6 linked regions of the Cricetulus griseus genome follow. The protein of the gene in region 3 purifies or fractionates together with the protein of the main gene of each other region. This does not show direct contact. Links are inferred from orthologs where the notes say so. Each region holds a gene or a part of one and is shown on either strand. Other genes may lie near its edges. The genes, in order: Trim25, Igf2bp3, G3bp2, Aurkb, Stau1 and Caprin1.

What was found.
Region 1: the proteins of G3bp2 (region 3) and Trim25 purify together in Homo sapiens (affinity purification with mass spectrometry; 4 studies listed by BioGRID and IntAct, counting the BioPlex papers as one, with this or other methods). This does not show direct contact. The link is inferred for Cricetulus griseus from reciprocal best matches to the Homo sapiens genes G3BP2 and TRIM25.
Region 2: the proteins of G3bp2 (region 3) and Igf2bp3 purify together in Homo sapiens (affinity purification with mass spectrometry; 3 studies listed by BioGRID and IntAct, with this or other methods). This does not show direct contact. The link is inferred for Cricetulus griseus from reciprocal best matches to the Homo sapiens genes G3BP2 and IGF2BP3.
Region 4: the proteins of G3bp2 (region 3) and Aurkb purify together in Homo sapiens (affinity purification with mass spectrometry; 3 studies listed by BioGRID and IntAct, with this or other methods). This does not show direct contact. The link is inferred for Cricetulus griseus from reciprocal best matches to the Homo sapiens genes G3BP2 and AURKB.
Region 5: the proteins of G3bp2 (region 3) and Stau1 purify together in Homo sapiens (affinity purification with mass spectrometry; 3 studies listed by BioGRID and IntAct, with this or other methods). This does not show direct contact. The link is inferred for Cricetulus griseus from reciprocal best matches to the Homo sapiens genes G3BP2 and STAU1.
Region 6: the proteins of G3bp2 (region 3) and Caprin1 purify together in Homo sapiens (affinity purification with mass spectrometry; 5 studies listed by BioGRID and IntAct, with this or other methods). This does not show direct contact. The link is inferred for Cricetulus griseus from reciprocal best matches to the Homo sapiens genes G3BP2 and CAPRIN1.

What each region holds. Positions count from the first base shown.
Region 1 is NC_048600.1:102,145,893-102,149,606, reverse strand, and holds part of Trim25 (E3 ubiquitin/ISG15 ligase TRIM25), read right to left. Parts: intron 813-3,714; coding exon 579-812; intron 1-578.
Region 2 is NC_048601.1:92,227,160-92,230,873, forward strand, and holds part of Igf2bp3 (insulin-like growth factor 2 mRNA-binding protein 3), read left to right. Parts: intron 1-1,081; coding exon 1,082-1,363; intron 1,364-3,714. UniProt on the Homo sapiens protein: RNA-binding factor that may recruit target transcripts to cytoplasmic protein-RNA complexes (mRNPs). This transcript 'caging' into mRNPs allows mRNA transport and transient storage.
Region 3 is NW_023276807.1:156,813,158-156,816,871, forward strand, and holds part of G3bp2 (ras GTPase-activating protein-binding protein 2), read right to left. Parts: intron 3,612-3,714; coding exon 3,530-3,611; intron 2,877-3,529; coding exon 2,703-2,876; intron 1,807-2,702; coding exon 1,716-1,806; intron 1,222-1,715; coding exon 1,119-1,221; intron 63-1,118; coding exon 1-62.
Region 4 is NC_048600.1:82,925,158-82,929,124, reverse strand, and holds the end of Aurkb (aurora kinase B), read right to left. Parts: intron 3,967-3,967; coding exon 3,818-3,966; intron 1,923-3,817; coding exon 1,748-1,922; intron 1,346-1,747; coding exon 1,184-1,345; 3' UTR 688-1,183; downstream 1-687. UniProt on the Homo sapiens protein: Serine/threonine-protein kinase component of the chromosomal passenger complex (CPC), a complex that acts as a key regulator of mitosis.
Region 5 is NC_048599.1:12,445,753-12,450,084, reverse strand, and holds the start of Stau1 (double-stranded RNA-binding protein Staufen homolog 1), read right to left. Parts: upstream 2,837-4,332; 5' UTR 2,598-2,836; intron 1-2,597. UniProt on the Homo sapiens protein: Binds double-stranded RNA (regardless of the sequence) and tubulin.
Region 6 is NC_048599.1:73,878,388-73,882,101, reverse strand, and holds part of Caprin1 (caprin-1), read right to left. Parts: intron 1,612-3,714; coding exon 1,417-1,611; intron 898-1,416; coding exon 797-897; intron 455-796; coding exon 391-454; intron 1-390. UniProt on the Homo sapiens protein: mRNA-binding protein that acts as a regulator of mRNAs transport, translation and/or stability, and which is involved in neurogenesis, synaptic plasticity in neurons and cell proliferation and migration in multiple cell types.

The sequences.
Region 1 (3,714 bases), on a different chromosome or scaffold from region 3:
GTGGGATAGGCTGTTACTGCACAACAAACTTACAAGGAACAGAGGAGGTACACCGCAGGAGTAAGGAAGACATCAAACCAGATAAAAGAATTAATCAAGAGGGCGATTATCCTGCCGGGGGAGGGGCAGACAGGATACTTAACTGGGTAAAAGACCTCAATAGAGGAAAGCGGGCCTTCCTAGATAGAGGGAGAAATGTTCCTGCTGGCTTGAGGAAGCATATGATGCCAAGTTGAAAGAAGGCCTCATCAGCCAGCCAGTAAGAAAGTGTACACTTGATCTATAGCCCCAAGGAACTTAAACTCTGCCTGTAGTCAGGTATGCTTGGAAAACAGCCCAGCCTGAAGCTAGACCATTGATGCCTTGTCAACAACAGGGAGCCACACCCAGATACTGAGCTAAGGGAACTGTGGGACAATAATCAGATGTTCTCCAAAGCCCCAAATTTAGGTAAGCTATCGCAGAGCATAGAAATACAGCGTGTCTCCGGGACACTTCCAGCCCCAACTCTGTGAGGTCCAAACTACTATCAACGCTGAGATATTCACACACACAGCAGCACCCTCGTCACGACTCACCTCCAGAAACTCAAACTCGTCCCCTTTGGACAGGGTGAGCTCAACCTCCGCCTTCAGGTTCTGCATCTCACTCTTCTTCTTGGCAAGAACCTGGTAGATGCTGTCCAGCTTTCCGTGGATCCGCTTCTCCTCCTCCTTCAGCTTACGCATCAAGTTGGTCTCCGCTGAATCAAGGATAGCCTTCATTTCCATATATTCTTGCCTCAGTTGTTCCTTTTTCCTGTTCATAGAGTCCTACAAGGCAAAAATGAAGGGGCTCCTGTCAGATGGGTGAAAATGCTAAGGCCGCATTCCTGTGTGTCGGAGAGAGGGGAGCACCAGGAACTGTATGACACTTCATGGCACCATTCTAGGCAGCCATGCCTCTGGAGGCAGAGGCAGGCAGATCTCTGAGTTCAAGGCCAGCCTGGTCTACAGAGTGAGTTCCAGGACAGCCAGGGCTACAAAGAGAAACCCACTCTCAACAAACAAACAAAACAACAAAAAGAATGTTAACAAGCACAGCCAGGTATGGTGACTCACAACTGTAATCCCAACACTTGGGAGGCTGAGATAGGAGGACCAAGAGTTCAAGGTCATCCTTGGCTTCATAGCATACTTGAGGCCAGCTTGGGTTATGTGTGACCCTTGTCTCCAAACTGGGGTGGGAGATGAGGGGGAGACAACTGTTCACAAGCATCATTGTTTGAAACAGCAAAAAGTGAGCTGGTCACAGTGGCACAGATTTATTATTCCAGTTCCTCTGGAGACTGAGGCAGGAGGGACACTTGAGCTATCTGGGGGTGGGGAAGCTAAGTACAGGAGAGACTTGATGCAAAGACTGAGAACCATCCTAGGATGAGACATTAAACGATAAACTGGAGGTACATGTGGATCCAGCTCACAAGGGAAAACACATAAGCTATGTGATTCTTTTCACACAAAGCTTAGACACTGAGGGAATGGCGGTGTTTGCTACCAAGGAATGCATGCACAAACAAAAAGGCATAAATATGTAAACACACGGGAATGAATGAGCTTGTGTTTAGGGTATAAATGATTAGGGAATAAATATGATAAATTAGGAACGGGGAGGGATACACTGCAGACGTTAACATAACATTTTATTTTTCAAGACAGGCTTTCTCTGGGTAGCCCTGGCTGGCCTGTAACTCACAGACAGCCACCTGCCTCTGCCTCCTGAGTGCTGGAATTAAAGGCATGCACCACCACTGCCTGGCCCCTAGTAAATTTTTAAAAGAAGGCATGAAACAATTTCAAAAACTTCCGGAAGAGGATTATTCCCTAGAACTCTCTTTTTGAGTGTTCCACGTGGCTGCTGCGCATTTGAAATGTGCCAAATTCAAGAAAAGATCTATCATGACTCTTAGTAGACACTGGATGTCAAAGACTTGATACCAGACAGCAGTGGTATCCCCTTTAATCCCAGCACTTGGGAGGCAGAGGCAGGTGGATCTCTGTGAGTTTGAGGCCAACCTGGTCTATAGAGCTAGTTCCAGGACAGCCTCCAAAGCCACAGAGAAATCCTGTCACAGAAAAAATAAATAAATAAAAACAAAACAAGAAAATCAGAGATGTCTGGAATGTTTCTGGTAGACAGTGTTGCTTCAAAGGTTGTAGTTTTGAACAAACTTCTTGGTTAACCTCAATAGTTTAGAATCAAACATGACAAACACAAATACTGTACACCAAAAGAGTGGAATTCAACTTTTAAAAAACTGTTACATTTATTATTAATCACTATTATTTTGTTGTTGTGTGCACACTCCCCCCAGGAGGTCAGAGGGCAACTTTCAGGAGTTGGTTCTCCTCTTCCTCTGGTCTTGGGGATCAAACTCAGGTTGTCAGGCTTGTGCAGCAAGCCCCTTTACCCACTGAGCCATTTCACTGAGCCTCTCATCCAGCCCTTCCCACTACCTCCTCTGTGAACACCAGTGTCCTTCAGTGTTCATTTCCTCTTTTGCTCTTTAGTAAGAGAACACCCCAGGAGTGTCAAGTGGGTATACAGCTTCTCAGACTACATTTCCCAGACTACCCTGCAAATGGGCTTAGCCAGGGTGGCTAAGTGGCTAAATTGCCTCCCGTGAGGCAAGGCTAGAAGTAGTATGTGCAACACCACATTGATTGCTTAAGAGGAAGTTGCTTGTTGTTGGTATCTTCCATCTTGCTTCCCTTTTCCCAGGCTAGAGCAAACAGGTAAAGGTGACCCAGAGTAAGGACCCAGTTTGGGCTGAATTCTGCCATCTTGGTGGTAACTGCTATATGACCCTAACACAAATCCCAAACCCTACATGACATGTTAATAGTTGTTATTATTATTATTTTAGAAAATCTAGGTACATTCCAGTTGGCCATGGGCCACCTTTGCCTATCTTAGCACAAAAAAAAAACCCCTTCCCTCCTGCCTTGTGACACAGGGATCGGGGGGATCCTCTTGTTTTGCTACTACTTAACATATCCTTCTGCCAATAAATCCTTAATATATTACAGCCTGTGCAATCCTGGATCTGCCAGCATCTTTGTTCTTCAGTACCTTCTGCCTTGACAGCCAGTTTCTATAATAGCCTTTGGCTTAAAAAAAAAAATCCAGCTTCAATCAAAGGCATGAGAGCATCAAACTGTGGAGTAGTGGGACAGTAGGAATGTTCATTTGGAGCAAAGCCATGCTAAGGGTCAAGAGTTGCTCTTGTGTGGACTTAGGTTGTTAAACTGAACAAAATGAACCACCTTATTGATTTGCATTTAAATGGATCCTAATCCTAGGAGGTTAGCCTGCCCTCCAACCAACCAATATTCATAATTCTACCTTCACCCTGTAGGTCTCACTATCTTCTCAGAGGAGTTGTGGTTGCTTTGCGTGTGTTTCGGGGCGGGCGGGGGGGGGGGGAGTAGGGGGGGTTGAAACTTGCATCTCCACCAACACAACTGAAGCCATCAATGAAGGCACAGTTGCTGCATCTCAGCAATGGTATTCTTAAAATTCCAGCTCCTTTCTTTCAATATAAAGGTAATATGGTACCATAGAGAAGGCTCAGTGGTTAAGAACACTGCCTGCTCTTCCAGAGGACAGTTTGATTCTAAGCACTCATATGGAGGTTCATGACCATCTGTAACTCAAGTCCCAGGGGATCTGACA
Region 2 (3,714 bases), on a different chromosome or scaffold from region 3:
TGCCCCAAGCATCCCCACCAGTAAGAAATTTCATTTTAAAAATCTGGATGTGTGCAATGCCATATAAATGTATTAATGTTACAGTAAAGTTGAAAAGGTGGGCGAAGGCTCAGGCCCTCCCCAAGCAGATACAAAGTGCAGTCAGTGTGTGGATAGAACAGCTTCCTTGCCTCCTCCCTCCTTCTCTTCCCTTTGTTCATCTTCTTGAGATCAAAACCCTACCCAGATGAGGGAATTGCAGTTATTTTCTGGTTGTGGCTCATCCTGAAATCTTACCAGTGTAAGACCAGTGTCCTGTAGTTGGTAGGGCTGTTTGCTCACCGATTCTTCAACCCCTTTAGAGCTGTGCGCTCCTTCCCTTGGTATATTTCCAAGCCATTACTAACTTTTTTTTTCCTTAAGTTTACCATGGTTGTTGCAAATATTTTTAATAGCATGTATTAATTACACAAAAGCAATAGACTTTATTATTACATTTTTGTGAATGTTTGTATTAGAACTCTAGAGAAACAGAACTGATAGAATGAGTATATATTCTACGGCTGTTTGTTAGACTGTCTCACACCATGAGTCAAGCAGTTCAACAGTGATTCTTGATTGAACTGAATCAAGAATTTAACTTGGGGCTGGAGAGATAGCTCATTGGTTAAGAGCACTGACTGCTCTTTCAGAGGACATGGGTTCAATTCCCAGCACCCACATGGCAGTTCACAACTGTCTGCAGCTACAGTTCCAGGGGAATCTGGCACCCGCACACAGAGCTACACTGTAGGCAAAACACCAATTCACCTAAAATAAAATTGTTTTAAAAAAAGAATTTAACTTGATTTTTGTTTCTGTCTCTCACTGGTAGATGGAAATTATTTGCCTTGGAAGCCGTTGGCCTTCCCTAAGTGCAGACTTCATAGAGGAGTGTGGTGGTGGTGGTGGTGGTGGTGGTGGTGGTGGTAGGGTTTGTCCGGAACAGCAGCTTTCGTCGCCGATAGCTCTGGGAGGAAGAGATGGGTGGCCGCTGTGGACAAGGTTACCATGCCACCGCTCCCGCTCCACCCACCACCCACTGTCTCTTGTGAATTTTCAGAGCCTTAGACAAACTGAATGGATTCCAGTTAGAGAACTTCACCTTGAAGGTCGCCTACATCCCCGATGAAACGGCTGCCCAGCAAAATCCCTCCCTGCAGCTCCGAGGACGCCGGGGTCCAGGACAGCGGGGCTCGTCCAGGCAGGCATCTCCAGGGTCAGTGTCCAAGCAGAAGCCCTGCGACCTGCCTCTGCGCCTGCTGGTCCCCACGCAGTTTGTTGGAGCCATTATAGGGAAGGAAGGTGCCACCATTCGGAACATCACCAAGCAGACCCAGTCCAAGTGAGTATGTGGGAATGGTGGCCACGCTGCTGTTGTCTTCCTCCCTCTGTGTTTAGTGTCAGGGTGTGATGTGTGGGAACTTGGTGTCCTTCTGAAGAGAGTTGGGGGCTCTCCTTTACAGTGCTGGGGAATGCGGCAGGGGAAGCCTTGTGACGTGATCACGCCTGGCTGGCAGTATAAAACCTCACATGAATGGAAAACAAACAGTACTTGATGTCACCGTGATGGGAAAGGCAGTGGACAGGTCATTCTCCCGCCCCCAGCCAGCCTACAGAGTCCCCGTTTTGTCTTGGCATCAGTGTGAAGATGGCATTTTTATCATGTGTTCACTTCAGTGGAGACTAATAGTCCACCCCCGGGTGGTGTGGTGGTACACACCTGTCTCAGGAGGGAGGGGCAGGAGTTCCTGGGCATTCTTAGCTCTGTAGTGAGTTTGAAGATAGCTCATCCTGAAAGCAATTACCAGGCAGGACTGCCACCAGCATTCCATCCCTGCATCCCACAATAGAAGGAGAAAACAGGCTCCTGAAAGTTGTCTTATGACTTATCAAAAATGTTTTAAATTAAATTATATTTATTAATGTGTGCGTCTGTGTGTGCACTCGCCATCTTTCCAGTCCCTCTGACTTCTTTACTCAGGCACGCATATATCCATACTCACATCACTCACATAAGAATTAATACTAAGTAAAATTTTAAAAAAATAAGTAAAATTAAAAAAAAAATTCATCCTCTGGTTTAAGTTTGTCCTGAAGTTAGAATGGCTCTCCCTTCCTTTCTGCCCTCCCCCCCTCCCTTCTTTTATTTTCATTTGATGTCATTACTAATAGAATGGCTTTTTCTTGAGGATGTTTAATAATGCTGTTTGGCAGGCTTTAAGGGATTGGAAAATCCTGATCAAACATCAGAGCTCACTTTGCTGGAGTCAGGCGGGAACCATTGTCATTTATCACCACAGCCCTGGTGTGTAGGGTCACTGCCTGATGCACAGGAAGCCCGTGCATTGCCTAAGGGCACAATGATGACTTATGAAGTTGCTGGGAGAAGAGGTTGTATGCAAAACAGTGTCTTTCTGCAGAGTGACCCAGCTGTAGAAATGACTGGATGGTTTTACTTTTTACATTTAGTAAGAATGAAGATTTCATGAGATTAGAGAAACTGAGTTTTGTTTGTTTGTTTTTTGTTTTTTCTGGAAATGGTGCCATAGAGCTGTGTATCCTTTGTGGCTAGATGTGTTCCGTGGCCTCTGAGGCATCCATGCTCTTTGATGCACCTTGCCTGCAGTTAACTGGGAGACTTCGTTTCATTCAGAACCTAAAAGAATTGTATGGTAGTGACGGTTGTAAGTTCATCCAGCCCTGCTGGGACACCCTACCCTGCTCACACCTGCTTTGGTTGTGAGCCTAGCCTTTAACGGCTGAGCCATCTCTCCAGCCCCTCACACCTGCTTTGAAGCAAGAGACACTGAGTGCTGGGTGCCTGTGTGCAACATTAATGATTCCAAATACATAATTAGTGGGTGGGGAGAACAATTGAACCATTATCTATGTTGATGTTTCTTAAATTTTACTTGTGACCCCTTTTTACCTGAGAAATTTTACACGTGACAGAAAATGCTCTGTAAGGTTCAAGTCAAGCATAATCTAAAAAATCTTTTAAAATAATTCTTGGTATTCATGTAATTTTGCAGTTGATTAAAGTTGAAAACTGATTTGGTAGTAATGAGATAGGTGCCTTCTTTGTTGCCATATAAAGAATTAAATCTTGGCTAAGTAGCTGACACCTGGGGACACGGAGCATCTTCAGGTTGCGCAGAGTGGATCAATGCTTTGGTTCTTTGCATGGTGTTGCACGCACTGCTGCTTCACGTAAATATGTAGAACAAAACAGTACGAATATGTTTAGGCCCTGCTGTACGTTGTTGGAAATTCTGTCTGAATCCTAAGCCAAAATTATTTAATGATTAACTTTTTAAAAATGAAACTCAAATCAGCAACTCAAACACCAATTTCTAAAATCAAATATTCCTGCACAGTTCCTTCCATTCAGAGATGCCAGTGTGATGTGTGTTGAGGAATGATGGTGGGAAAATGTTAGGTCTGTTGTTCTCTATCTTGTTTCACTAAGAACAGAAAGCTTTGGGCGTACAGTTAAAACACTGCTCTTCACATAATCTTGAATGTGAGATGGCAAGGCAGTGTTCTGTAGTGTAAGGGCTCATGTGGTACAATGCAAAGTTCCCATGTTGTTTGTTCAGAACCAAGGCTGCGGTGAAATCACATGATCCATGTCTGAGTGCTTCCTGAAACACATCAGATTCATTCATTCCACTTGATATTTAGAAATAAATT
Region 3 (3,714 bases):
CAGACTCAGGCTCGGGTTCAGGTTCATGAGAGGGTTCTTCTAAAGGCTCCTCTATGCCATTACTACAATGAAAAATCTAGGTCACCAATCAGGAGATCAAATGAGATAAAGATCCAAACTAACAGCTGTGTTCATGTGCATGCAGGGTCAGTGACGAGATTCAAGTCCTGCCTGTTGTGCACATACTAGTAAAATGGCTCTACCTGAGATTCACATCCAGTTGAAACCCATCTTTCTGCTGGTTTTGGTTTTGTTGGTTGAGACAGGATTTCACTATGAATCCTTGGCTGGCCTCAAACTCAGTGAGATCCACCTACTTCCCTCCTCCCTTTTAGTGCTGGGATTAAAGGTGTACATTACCACATCCAGCCCCATCAATTGTTAAAAATGGTTATTATTCTGCACCTAAAGAAGGGTGTTTTGCTTACATGTATATGTGTGTCATATACATACAATGCTCCTGGAAGCCAGAAGATGGCATCAGATTCCCACATCTGGGGTTAAAGACTGCCATGTGGGTGCTGGGCATCACACTCAGGTCCTCTGTAAGAGCAGCCAGTGCTCTTAATGGCTGAGCCATCACTACAGCCACACCCCCATCATTTTAATGCTTATTTTAGTGCCATTATAAAATCCTGTGCTTAATTTTCTAATTAGTGTTTGAAGGGACAATGCATGATGGTCAGAGGAATGAAACTAAGGACACCAGGCCTGCAGGGTAAGCAACTTCCTGGGTGAGCCACTTCTTTGTCCCCTACATGACATGACATGTGTCAAATAAAAATAAGTTTATAGAAATAAACGTATTGTCCCTCAACAGTATGTATGTAGACAACCACAGCTCTGATACGAACCATGTGGAAATTTTTGAATGAATAATTTTCATTATCTTGATCTATGTTCTAAATAACCAAATACTGGCTTAAATATGCAGTTTTAACAAAAATGTATTTCCAGGGGCTGAGGGTGTAGTTTGGTGGCCAAGTGCATACTTAACATGCATTAAGGTCTGGGGTTCAATTCCTAGCACCAAAGAATAAGCATTAAGTTCCAACAATAATCCTAGAAACAACTAGGATTCAGTGCAAGTACAGGCGGAAGCTGCTAGCTAGCCTTACGTCACAGGAAGAGCGTCATAGTAAGCGCTGTTAGCATTCTCTTGAACAGGTTCAGGAGATGGCTGCCTTTCTTCTTGCTCCTCTTCCACTTCATCTTCTGATTCTGACAACACACAACGCACCAAGTCTTTTTAAAAGAGGGCTCATATACTCTCACATACTACAGTATGTTTAAGTGTATGCTAGAAAGTCAGAAGACTGATAAAGGCAAGTCATTCACTGGGATAATCCCTGTTCTCCACAAACTAAATAGAACAAACAGGACCAAGTTTAATTACTATGCTGTCTTTTAACAAAATCAATTAGTAAAGAAAGGAAAAGCTTGCAATGAAGCTAAAAACCATTTTGTTTCTGTTGCCACCTCTATTTAAGAGCAGTATTGATAAGAAGGAAAACAAACTGGTACTTTTTCAGTGGAAGATCAGTACTGCCACAACTTGGACAGGCAACAGACAATAAGGGAAGACGAGTAAGCTCCATGCCACATAGGTAATTTTGATAAGAAAGTGCCTGTGTCCCCAAAACAATTTCAGAGTATGTACCAAACTCTACAGTATAGTATGGAATCTATACAGACATGTCACCTTGGAAACTCACCTTCATCAAGTTCTGGTTCAGAATCACCAAATACTTCATCTTCATAACGAAACATATCATTGTGAACATAAAATTTGTTTGGGACAGACCCCTATAGAAAAACAACATGTAATCTCAACTTTAGTACAACACAAGTAACCTGAACTAAATATAATTATCTAGAGCGGAGTATGTTTAGATGTTAACAAAAGAAAAACAAAACAAACCACCAAATGAATATTGGATGAGCGTGGTGGCAAACACAGACGATTCTACCATTTGGAAGAGTGAGAAAGGAGGGCCACACGTTCCAGGCCAGCTGAGCTACAGATTCTCTTTTTAAAAAATTGTAATAGTAATAATACCCATATGAAACATCAAAATAAAGCCCAGCATGATGTATATGCTAATGCTTAAAAATAATTATTAAAATTCAAAACACTCTTCTCAAAAAGAAACTCTTTAAAAATCTCTCAAAAACAATGGCAAATTGACTCAGAGATGGCTCAATGGTTAAGAACACTGGCTGCTTTTGAAGCCCCAGGTTCAATTCCCAGCATGGTGGCTCACGACTTCCTGTACCTTCACAGTTGCAGAGGATCTGATACCCTTCCCACCTCCATGGCCAGACTCACACCCATACATGCAGGTAAAACACCCAAACATATAAGAACCAAAATTAAAAGGGCTAGAGAGATGGTTCAGAGGCTAAGGGCATTAGCTCTGCTCTTCTGGAGGACCAGAATTCGATGATAAGTAACCATGGGACAACCATCAGTTCCAGGGTTATGCCCTCTTTGGCCTCCAAGGGCACCAGGCATACATGTGGTGCAGACATAAAGACAAAACACCCATAAAAATAAGTAAAATTCAAAATATTAAATAGTTTATTAAATATTAAAAAATAGCAACAAGCAAACCCAAAACTATAGGAAGAAACTCTTTAGCATTCCAACAAACTGTTAGCAAACATATCGCATAAATACAAACTGAATTATGAGAACTTACTTCTGGAGCCAGAACAAATGTTTGCATGAACTTCCTCTCCGGCTGTCCACTGTTAGACAGCAAACCCATGACCTGCACAACCACGCCATCGCTCAAGGTTGCGTGAGCATCCACATGACGAATTTTCGTATGACACTCACTGAAGTTCAGAGATAACACTTTGTGGTGTATATCCTTTACAGAAAAGAGGTGAAGAAAATAAAAATTTTTGTGCCACCACACTAACTACACATTGTTATACGTACATACATTGTTTATTTCCTCATGACCCATAAAAATGAACTATTGGCCTTTTTGGCAATAATCTGAATCCAATCCAGGAAACTATGAATTACAATCAGACTGCCTGCTAATTGCCATCTTTACTCTATACTGAAGCCCCTAATCTCTGAAGTCTGCTCTTCCATCAAGCTATAAAGATTATTCTGTACTTTGCTGGAGCTCGAGAAATTACTTTCTCAACTACTTCATGTATAAAAAGCAACATTAGAAGTTCTCCTTTTAAATACATCCCATTATAATACATTTCTACTAAAACTGACTCTGTGTAGCAAAGAATCACACACTAGAGAAACCCAGTGAGTCCAGAAAGGCTACTTGTGTTTGTTTGTTTTGGTTTTTCGAGACAGGGTTTTTCTGTGTAGTTTTGGAGCCTATCCTGGCACTCGCTCTAGAGACCAGACTGGCCTCGAACTCAGAGATCCACCTGTCTCTGCCTCCCAAGTGCTGGGATTAAAGGCGTGTGCCACCAATGCCCGGCCCAGAAAGGCTACTTTTAAAACCTGTCTTAATCCAAAGACACTTGAAAGAGTTAATTTGTGACTTACATTTTGGCCATAAACTGCTTCCTGGGGCTTTCCACTGGCATCCACTCCACCATGGACATAGGAGGAATTCCTGCCATAAAACCTGTAAAATCAATGACAGATATCAAGTTAAGAGGCCACTAGACTTCTGGGCCTAAACAGGGGACAAGATTTTGACTACTTCCCATAAATGTTGTTAAGGGTCA
Region 4 (3,967 bases), on a different chromosome or scaffold from region 3:
ACCAACTGATTAAATGTTTATTTAAAAAGAACTACATAATAGTCCATATATAGGATGGTGCTATGGTTTGAACCTTTGATGTCCCCAAACAGTTATGTTCTGGGGTTTGATTACTAGCTGATGGGTTTGGGGCAAGTGACTGGCTCCTGAGGACTTTGACCAAATTGTGGATTTTCTTAAAATTACAATTTATTAGAATATAATAAAGAAATAGACTTAATTGTGGCATTTTCAAACATGTATACCATTACACTTTTTTAAATTCATGTGCATGTGTACAGCCACAAAAAGGTCAGATCCCATGGTTGTGAATTTGCCTAACCTGAGTTCTTTGGAACCAAATCTGAGTTCTTAAGTGCTGAGTCCAGCCCCATAATGCTTTGTTCTATTCACCCCACTCCTCCCTAGCTTCCTCTGTCCCCTTATGCAAAACTTTCAAATTTAAGTTGGACACAGCAGCCCAACAGGAGGAAGAGAGTCCCATGAGCAGGCAAAGGTTTTACTTGCATCACTGTGTGTCCTGGAACGTGATTTGTAGTCCAAGATGTCCCAGACTTATGGTGATTCTCCTGACTCAGCCCCCTGAGTGCATGGACCAACATGCCAAGCTAACTTGGGGTTTTTGGCTTCATAATGTTACCAAAGTATAACCACTACTTTTTACTCTCAAAACAGTATTCAAAAACATGAAATATTTAAGACTTTATTATAAAATATACTTTGTGCTACATAATTTTTCTGAATTTTAAGATAGGCTAGACTAAACATGTTTCACGGATTAATGCATTTTTGACTTACGGTATTTTAAAACATTTGGCAAATTGAAAGAAATCAGACTCTATGGCTCCTTAAAATTCTGACTGTGTATATGTGTGCCACATCCATGCCTAGTGCTACGGATGGTTGTAAGCACCATGTGGTATACTGTGAACTGAACTCCTGGTTCTCTGGAAAAACAGCCCTGCTCAGCCATCTCTCCAGTACTGTGTTTTTTTTGTTGTTGTTTTATATATGTTTTGTCTGCACATATGTGCACCACATGTGTGCATGGTTTTGCCTGTGGAGGTCAGAAGACAGGTCAGATTCCTTAGAACGGGATTTGGGGATGGTTGTGAGCAACCCTCCCTCCCCCCAACACATACACAAATATACAAACAACAGAGACAAAAATGAAGAAAGCAGTCTAAAGGGCAGAGGGAGACAGTACCCTCCTAGAGTGGGCCCGCACCCAAGGGTGAGCTGCGACCTGGGCCAGGGGCAGCCGATCTGAGGGTTTATGCTTGAGCAGCTTGGAGATGAGGTCCTGGGCCCCCTCAGGTACAGAAGGAGGGAACTTCAGGTCCACCTGCAGAGGAAGAAAAGAGAAAGGTTTCACCTGTGTTACCCTGACTACATTTTCCTTGACAACTCAAGAGATTTTTGCAACCCCCAAAGGAGGCATTATTAACAATGGATGGCTGCTGAGGGAAAGAAAGGAAGTCATTTTCCTTTGGGAGTGTGGGTACAGGTAGGTTGCTGGCAGCACTAGCTGGTCTCAGGGGGCTATAAAAAGAAAAAGGACATGACGGTGGGTGGGGCATGTGTTGGGAAAGGAGTCGGGGTGGGTGATCAAGGTGCATTTGTATGAAGTTGTCAGAGAATAAGTACTGCTCATGAAATAGGGAGACTGTGCAGAGCCCTATAAATCTACCCTGCCCACCCCAGACCCTGGCTTCCACAGCACACAGAGCCCAGGCAGGTATCCTACCTTGACAATCCGACGGTATGTCTCACTGTGGCTAGGGCTCTCAAAGGGTGGGTTCCCCACCATCAGTTCATAGCAGAGCACCCCGATGCACCACAGGTCTACCATTTCGTTATGCATGCGCCCCTCAATCATCTCTGGGGGCAGATAGTCCAGGGTGCCACACATGGTCTTCCTCCTGATGGGATGAGAAGTGGGTAGGGCCTCGAAAAAATCAGCCTCTCTTTTCTCTTTACTTGATAGTAGGCAGCTCAGAGATCCCAGGAAGGTCTGGCCACACTAATGGATTATCTTAATTTTTTGTTTTTTTGAGACAGAGTTTCTTTGTGTATAGCTTTGGAGACTGTCCTGGAGACTGTCCTGGAACTAACTCTGTAGATCAGGCTGGCCTCAAACTCAGAGATCTGCCTGCCTCTGCCTCCCAAGTGCTGGGACTAAAGGTGTGCATCACCACCGCCCAGCTATCTTAATCTCAATAAGTAAAAAATAAATAAAAACAATCAGAGATGAGGGCAATGCTCATTTCAAAGAAGAAACAGAAAACATCTCTAATATCCACCGAATATACACTACTTAAATAAGTCGGTTTATATTTTTACTGTGCAATACCAAGAAGTGTTAAACAATGATCAGGTCACCAGATACTGTGATATACACCTCTAATCCCAATCCTTGGCAAGATTTTTGTTTTGTTAATATTGATACAGGTTCTCTCTATAATACAGCCTTGGCTGGCCTGGAACTCACTAAGTAGACCAGACTGGACTTAACCTCAGAGAGATCCACCTTCCATTGCCTCACTAGGGCTGGACTGAAAGGAATAAGCCACTACCTCTGGCTTAATTGGACATTTGAGGTAAATTGTCAGTCTGAGGCCAGGTAGGCCTACAGGGTAAAATCTTGTCTAAAAACTGTAAAGAGAGCCGGGCGTTGGTGGTGCATGCCTTTAATCCCAGCACTTGGGAGGCAGAGGCAGGCGGATCTCTGTGAGTTCGAGGCCAGCGTGGTCTCCAGCTTGAGTGCCAGGATAGGCTCCAAAGCTACACAGAGAAACCCTGTCTCAAAAAACCAAAAAAAAAAAAGCCCAAACAAACAAACAAACAAAACTGTGAAGAGGAGGTCTGGAGAGATTTGTCGGTGGTTAAGAGCACTGATTGCAGGACCAAGGTTCAATTCCCAGCACCCACATGGCAGCTTACAATTATCTGTAACTCCAAGATCTGACACCCTCACACAGACATGCATGCAGACAAAACACCAATGCACATAAATTATTAAAAAGAAGAGGCCAAGCAATAGTAAGCACACCTTTAATCCCAGCACTCAGGAAGAAGCAGAGGCGGGTGGATCTCTTTGAGTTTGAGGCCGCCAGCCTGGTCTACAAAGTGAGTTCCAGTATAGCCAGGGCTACTCAGAGAAACGCTGTCTCAAAAAAAACCAAACAGTTAAAAAACTGGGAAGCGGTTCTGAGGGATGTGGCTCAGTGAAAGAGCATTTTCCTAACATAGGCAATGCCCTGGGTTCCATCCTCAACACTAAAACCAAACCAAATCAAATAAAATGTGACCTTGGTAACCAGGCATGTCAGCGTATGCCTGTGATACCAGATACTCATTTGCACCTGGGCCTTTAAAAACAGCCCGGGGAACTCGGTGAGGCCGTATCTCCTTAGAATGAACAGGGTCGGCAGGGGTAAACTTGACATGGTGATGCTTGCCTGTAACTCAGCTATGTTTGGAGGGTGATCAGAAATTTAAGGTTATCTTTGGCTATATAGTGAGTTTGAAGTCATTCTGTGCTACATAGGACCCTGTTTCAATCAATCAATCAATCAATCAATCAATCAATCAATCAATCATGTGGGAGTTTCCACAATGATATGGTAAGAGAGGGCCCACTATATTTCATAGAAAGAGTAGAAAATTTAGAGCATGAATTATTGTGTTACCTATTTTTGTAAAGACTTTGCTACATCTATATTGCATGGAGACAAACCCCATCTCAAGGAACAACTTGCAGAAGAGCTGTATATCACAGCCTCACACGAGGGACAGCCCCCGAGCCCCACCATACCTCAGGGAGGGAGCATGCACAGACCAGCCAAAGTCCGCAATCTTCAGTTCGCCCTGGAGACCTAACAGCAGGTTCTCAGGTTTTATGTCCCTGTGAATCACCTTCTTCTTGTGGCAGTACATCAGTGCATCCGACAGCTCCTCCATGATC
Region 5 (4,332 bases), on a different chromosome or scaffold from region 3:
AGGGGAATCCGTTAACTCTGCAGCTGTTTTCCTGCTTTGTATTAATCATATCTCAACAAAGAAGCCAGACTCCCCCCCAAACAAAAAACAAAAAACAAAAACTGTCAGTCAGCCTGAGGTGATCTAGTTAAAGTCAAAATGACTAAGATTATGATAAGTTTGGGGGTTGTTTCAAAACAAGCTAGATTAGAGCCAGGTGGTGGTGGCATATGCCTTTGATCCCAGCAGAGGCAGGAAGATCTCTGTGAGGCCAGCCTGGTCTAGTGATAGAGTTCCAGGACAGGCTCCAAAGCTACAGAGAAACCCTGTGTCAAAAAAACAAACAAACAAAAAACCAAAAAAATAAGCTAGCTTAAAGGAGGGAGTTCAAGTAGAAACAAGACTGACCTTAGCTAGGAGTTAATAATTGCCAAAGCCGGGCGACCAATACACAGTGCCCTCTATAGTGTTTAACTTTCATACTTAAAAATAACTTCAGAAGCCAAGCATGACAGCTCACACCTGTAATCTCTGCACCTCAGTGGGTGAGACAGGAGGACTGATAGGAGTTCAAGGTCAGCCTAAACTAGAGATACTGAAAAAAAAAAAAAAAAAAAAAAGGCTAAAAAAATAACTTCAAGTTCTCTACCACAGCATTAAAATATCACTTCCCTGAAATAATTTTCGATGTGACACAGAATATGCTTGGTGATACTTACAGAATCGTTTGTTTGAGAGCTGTTAAAAAGCCATTACATTCAACAATACACAATACACAATATTTCCTGACAGTTACAAATTTTTGGAAGATATCAAAAACAGTAATGCCTTGCATTATTGAGATGGGTGTGATATAAACATTCGCCACTTACTAAGGAAATTCACTGCCCAAAACAATCTGGTGATTGTGGGCTGAAGAAATGGGTAGGTCATGCTTAGAGACTGTCTCACAAAATAAGGCAGAGAGCCATTAAGGAAGAGCAAGACAGAGGTTGACCTCTGGCCTCCACAGGCACACAAGGGCATGCATATATGAACTGTCTCCCCCTCCCCCCCCCACACACAGAGTAATCCTAAGGCATAGAAGAGTCGTTGGGCACAGCAAACACACCATATTATTCTTGCGAATGAGTTTGCATGTCTTTAAGGAAGGGGATGTCTATGTCATTAAGCACATACTTAAAACAAATACGGACACTTTGAGATGGGCTCAGCAAGTGAAGCAGTTGCAGCAAGGAGCCTGATAACCTTTGAATCCCAAAACCTTTGAATCCCAAAAGTTGTCTTTCCACTTCCCCAACAGCTGCCGCTGGTGTAACACTCAAAAAAAGAACTTAATCTTGAGAGAGAAAGGCTGAGTCAGACTAAAAAAGAAGCTCTTCTAAAAGCTCACCAGAATGGTTCAGACTGCCCCTTCCACACTCACCAACTGTATTTTTTAGTTTTTACTTCAACAAGTAGCGACGTAATTTACATGTGATAAGCACAGATGCCTAAAAGGCCAAAATCCTAGTTTAAATCTCTTCTAGCACCATCTCAAGAATTACAGCCACAAGCAGATGAAAAGAGTGACCCTAAAGAAGGCCCCCACATCACGAAGGGCAAAACAAAATAAAGTTTCTACACCAGCAATACTGCCACAGAAAGGGAGTTGTGCTCAGGGTTTGGGGAAACTGCTAACTGGGACCTTAGAGTGAAAGACAAATTCAACCAAAGAAAGTGAAGATCTGCAGATGCGGACCCGGAAAGCAGGGTTTCACATCTGCACACTGCACCTCCAGAGCCTGACACACAGGAGGGGAGCCTGTGCCAGCAACTTTCCCAGAAAAAAGAATGACAACAAGGTTCTGGATGGATGGTGGCAGGGAAACATGGGACAGGTTGCTGAGCCTGGGGGAGCGGTGGGTTCCCCGCAGCTGCTTCTACAGAAAGGATGGCTACGTCTTTACATCCAGATGTGCCTGCAAGTGTCCCCATTAAGCGCGCGCCCCTTTCCGATGCTAAGCAAGCACAATGCCCAGGCGCTGGGAGTGGGCACGCGGGTTCTTCTGCCTCGGAGGAAAGCGAAATGGGAAGGTAGGTCAACTTCTGTCCAGTCTGCACCCTAAATTATACCTTCATATCACGCTAATAAATTATGCAAACCGTTTATTGGGACACGACATGGGTCTGGCACGCTGATAAGCGCTTTACACGCCCCCAATTCACTGCACCTTCACAGTCGGAAGAGGCAGGGACAGGGCTGGGACAGGATTAGCCTTCTACCCCCCTCCCGTCCCCTCACAACAGAGACACAAAGAGTGTGAAGTGGCTCGCGAAGGGGCAGAGCCGGGAATTGGCACCCCGTCCCGCGGCTCGGCAGTGGCTGCAGCACTGTGCACAGCGCCGAGACCCGGGGGGCTCCCGACCGGCCCGGCCCCTGCCCGCGCCCCGCGTCTCACTCGGGCACCGAGCCCACGAGCGGCGCGGAGGGCCCGCCTCCTCCGGGAAGGGCCCCGGGCGGGGACGGGCCTGGGCCGCAGCTCGCGCGCCCGCGAGGCCTAGCCCACCCGCCGCCCACCTCCCGCTGCCGCCGTGCCTACGAGGGCCCCACCGAGGCCCGGGCCCGGCCGCCTCACCTGCCTGCTTCCCCGGAGCTCGTCCACGGGCCGGCGGTCCTGGGCGGCGGCGAGGACGGGAAGGAGCAAGGGAGGAGGGCGAAGGCGAAGGGACCGGGGAGGGAAGAGGCGGTGTGGCCGCGGAGGAGGCGGGCGCCGCCGGGCCGGGGGGACAGAAAAAGGGGCAGACGACACAGGCGCGACGGCCGCCAGCGCAAACGCTGAAGAGCGGCTCCGGCGCCCGCAGCCCGGCAGGAAGTGACGGGGGAGGGGCCGCGCCCGCCCCGGCCCCCGCCCGCCTCCATGCCGGCCCCCCCCACCGCGGCTGGGACCACAAGTCCCGGCGGGCGCCGCAGCCTGCCTGCGCCCTCTAGACACGCTAGGGCGTCAGGGGCCGGACAGGTTCTGTTGTGTCGGGGCATGCTGGGAGTTGTAGTTTCGCGGGAGCTCAAGCTGGGCCGAGAAAGCAGGCCTGTCTTCCTTTCTTTCTCGGGTTTATGCTTGCTTCTGCGCAGTCACTCCTTCTCTATGTCAGCATTTGTTAACCTGCTGCCCTGTGCTAGGTCAGAAGCTGAGAAAGCGGCTGGGATGCACATGTCCTTGCCCTCATGACGTTTACATTCTAGTGCGAAGTATGAGCCTGAAACAAACAAGCACAAGTGTTTTCTGGCTGCTCTCACACCCCTCTAAGCAGAGTGTGCTTCTGTGGACAAGAGGCTGGTGTGGGCTTGTTTGATGCAGTCCTGGGAATTGAACTATAAACCACTTCTACCAGTGAGCTCCATCACCCACTCATCACATAGTTTTTTAAGCTGACTTCTTAGATTTTCTTGTTTTAATTTTTTAAATTGTGTATGTGTATGTGTGTTTAGATCACTTGAAGTATGTGCTATATGAGGAAAGCAAGATTGAAAAGCACTTCAGAGTTCAGATAAGCCATTCCCAAATTGGCTGGAAAATTGTTACACTGGACTACCTCTAAATGTTAGAAGGAGATATCATGGAAGAAAGCCCTCTTTAGAAAGCAATAGAAAAAGCTGGACTTCGTGACTAACACCTCAAACTCCAGCACTTGGGAGGCTGGACAGGATCTCTATGAGTTCGAGGCCAGCCTTGTCTACAAAGTGAGTTCAAGGGCAGCCAGAGCTGTAACACAGAGAAACTATGTCTCAAAAAGAAAGGAAGGAAGGAAGGAAAGAAGGAAGGAAGGAAGGAAGGAAGGAAGGAAGGAAGGAAAGGGAAGGGAAGGAAGAGGCCAGGCATTGGTGGCGCAAGCCTTTAATACCAACACTCGGGAGGCAGAGGCAGGTGGGTCTCCGTGAGTTGGAGACCAGCTTGGTCTACGAGAGCTAGTTGCAGAATAGCCTCCAAAGCCACAGAGAAACCCTGCCTCAAAAAACGAAAGAAAAAAAAGAAAGGAAGGAAGGAAGGGAAAAGAGAAAAAAGAAAGAAAAGAAAGGAAGGAAGAAAAAGAGACTACAGCCAAGTGGTGGCAGTGGCAGTGGCGCACACCTTTAATGCCAGTGGAGGCAGAGGCAGGTGGATCTCTGTGAGTTCAAGACCAGCTGGTCTGCAGAGAGAGTTTCAGAACGGCCAGAGCACTTACACAGAGAAACCCAATCTCAGAAAAGCAAAAAAAAAAAAAAAAAAAAAAAAAAGATTGAGCATGATGTACACACACATACACCTTTAATCAAACAAAAGCAGGCATATCTCTGTGAGTTGAGAGCAACCTGGTCTACAAAGCTGCACAGAG
Region 6 (3,714 bases), on a different chromosome or scaffold from region 3:
CATGTTTCAAAAATCAAAGAGGGTAATAAATTTATATAAATGTTCAATCTCGTTCCAAAAATGTCTTACAAAAAGTTTCAGTAAGTACTTCCTAAAAACATTTAGCAGGTTTTAAGACCTGAAAAATAAATTTCCAGTTGGAAAACACTTTTCTGAGGCAGAGAAATGTTCTGATTTTCAAGACAGTAACAGGGAAAGTCATTCAAAAATTAAAATTTGGACTCAAGATGAAATTTTAGAAACAGAGCATTTCATTTAATCTTTAGCAACAAGTCGGGAAAGGATAAATGCACTCCTAACATATAACCTACATGCAGACTATGAACAGCTCTTCCAAGGCCAGAACAGAAGCTCCACATAGGAGCTAGGATCACCACCACAAAATATTACCTCGTGGGGCTCCCCGTGGTCCACTCTGCCCAGAGCCTCGCTTGAAATTCTGCTGATATCCATCCTAAAAGACAAGCTAGTTAGTATTGAAAAGGAAACTGATTTTGTATACCTATACCTAGTCTCATAGCTCAACACTAGCCAAATATCTAACTCCTTCTAGACATCAATGTATTACAGCTAAGTTACTGTTCTTACTATGCTTCCTTTAAACTCAAATATTTACATATAGTTGCTTTGAAAACCCTTTTAGCAATCTACATCAAGTGGTTATAGGTAATGTTTGTAAAAAAAGAAAACAACAAACAAAAAAGCCCCACAGCTATCACTTTTGTAACAAAGTATATTGGACACCACAAACTAAGCCCAAATCACTTAGTTACCAAGATCCACCATGTTTACATACCCGCTGGTAGCCAGAATAGTCCCGGGGAGCACTGAACTGAGACTGTGTATAGCCACTGTTTGGAGTGTTTGAGAATGAAGGGCGGTAACCATCATATCCTCCTAGAATTTAAGACAAGGAAACAATTTACTTTTCCTTACAAGGATTCTGCTTTCTTAAAGGGAAGTGTAAAAAAATAAGCCACACTACTTAAAATAATTTTGAATTCCCTGTGTTGATTCCATCTGTTTATCAATATCTAAGTACCACGTTTTGTCCACCTAGGAATGAACACACACACCTAAACAAACTGGTAATGGAGACAAACCTATAAACAAACACCTGTGTGACAACTCAGTGTTTATCTCCCAATTTTTGTCATTTAAAAAACTGGACAAAATAAGCCAGGCATGCTGGCACATGCCTTTAACCCCAGCACTCAAGAGACAGAGTCAGGGAGATCTGGGTTTGAGGCCACACACATATAACACACTTCAAATGTTTTAAATTATGCATTAAGGGACTAACACAGAGGCAACTCTTTCCCAAAAATCATGAAACATGTCTCTACTTACTTTACAAATCATTAAAGACTTGAAACTGCACAAAGTAATTAGAAGTTGCTTCATTTATTTGTTTACCTCTAAATCCATTGGCAGGGCCCCTGTATCCATTCATCAAGCCTCTGGCACCACGAGACCCTCCTCGGGACACACCACGACTGTTGTAATAAGGCTGACTGCTGCGTGGAAACCCAGTGTTCTGCTGAGGGGGTTGCTGGTGGTTTCCAGGCACTTGATGGGTCTGGTCCTGGGAACCATGGTAAGTGCCAACCACTGTTAAAGGAAAATATACATAAACAGAGTTCATTACTGTTCTTTCTCCCACATACTTTCTGAATTATATAAAATATTCTACACTCTATTCTCAAAGTTCAATTATTCAAATAAATCCATTAATAAAAACCTGTAACACTAAAAAGACCCTATTTCTTCCCTCCTACCTGTAAGATTAAGCTAAAGAGGGCATTTCCCCAATAGTAATTCTAGACCTTGGAAAGCAGAGTTTCCAATACTATTCTTCCACACATAAAATTGGAAAGGGCTCTATATTTCCAACACCTTCTGAAAGTAACTGACCTTTTAGCAAGAGTAGACTCCATAAGTGAGAAAATTAATGATGAAATAGCATATATATATATATATATATGTCAATTTTTTCATTATAAAGCTCCTTAATAATACACTTATTTCCCTTGGCACTTAGTGAAACACACAAAACCATACTCATAGTTAAGTAGCCATACAAAAAAATGTCATCAACTGTAATTGAAACATTAGATTTTCAACTTACATCCTTTGGTGTCCATCTAAAATGACAGATAGAGCTAAGTGGTATTCACTCTGGTATACAGCCTTATTGGAAGGGTGAATACTGGAAGGGTGAATATATGACTTTACACCCACCCACCCCTTCGGACACACCTCCACATTGAGGAGTTACACAAAATAAGTCAAACATTAAATATTGATGTATATTATCTGATTATTATTTGAGTGTATATAATTCACTCAAGGAAAAAGGAGAGGAAAAAAAAATCCTAAGTACCTTTGGAAGTTGAGGAAACTAACAACCAAAATGGCTCTCGAACTAGAAATAATGTACCTGGAACACCACCAATTCCTGGAAATTTAACTCATATATCCTCCCACCCACTCCAAGAAATTATAGATAGTGTTTTTTCTCTAGCATGAAAAAAGCCACAAAATGCCTATGCAGAGAAGAATAAAGGGTTATGGTTCCTTTCAAGCTACTTAGCTGCACTATATATTACAGTGATATAATCTTTCTATACAGATTATGCTTGATTATATTCAACATAAAAATTAAGCAAATGCCAAATGCAAATTACAATCTAGAAGGTTCATTAGTATGCATTTGAGTAACAGTAAAAATAATGAATTTTCAAATCATATTTTTGCTGTTGTCTTGAGACAAATCTCACTACACAGCCTATGCTGTCCTTGAACTCAGACTCTTCTGTCTCAGTTTCTCAAGGACTGGATTACAAGTATACACCATCACACCTACCATCAAATCAAACACCCTTTGGTTTTCAAGACAGGGTCTCACCCGGTGGTAGTGGTACACTACTTTAATCCCAGCACTCGGGAGGCAGAGGCAGAAGGATCTCTTTGAGTTCAAGGCCAGCCTGGTCTACAAAGCTACACAGAGAAACCCTGTCGAAAAACCGAAACAGAGTTTCTCTGTTTAACAGTCCTAGTTGTCCCACAACTCGCTCTGCAGACCAAACTGGCCTTGAACTGACAGAGATCTGACTCTCTATGTTAAGGTGTGCGTCACCATTGCCCAGCTATCAAACCATGTTTTATCATTAAGAATTATCTTAAGGTTCTCCAGACACGGCTCAGGAGTTAAGAGCACTGGCTATTCTTCCAGGGGACCTGAGTCAATTGCCAACACCCATACAGAGACACAACTATCTGTGATTCCAAGAATCCAAAGCCTTCTCTGGCCTCCTCCAGCAACTGGGAAAGCACATGGTGCACAAACATGCAGGCAAACAACTAGACATGTAAAATGATATTCTGCTATACACTGTTATCAGAGGTTTCACCCAGCAAGAGACCTACAGCCAAACACTAGTAGTTCAGGGAATCATGTAGAAGAGGGGGAGGAAGGTCTATAGTAGGAAGGACTGTAGGATATAGGGTCAAGGGCACCAAAAGAAAATCCACAGAACTGCCAGGCAGTGATGGCACACACCTTTAATCCCAGCACTTGGGAGGCAGAGGCAGGCTGATCTTTCCCAGTTTGCAGAGTGAGTTCCAGGACAGCCAGAGCTACACAGAAAACCCTGTCTCGAAGGAAAAAACAACAAAAAATCCACATAACCAACTAACCTAGGTTCATAGGGA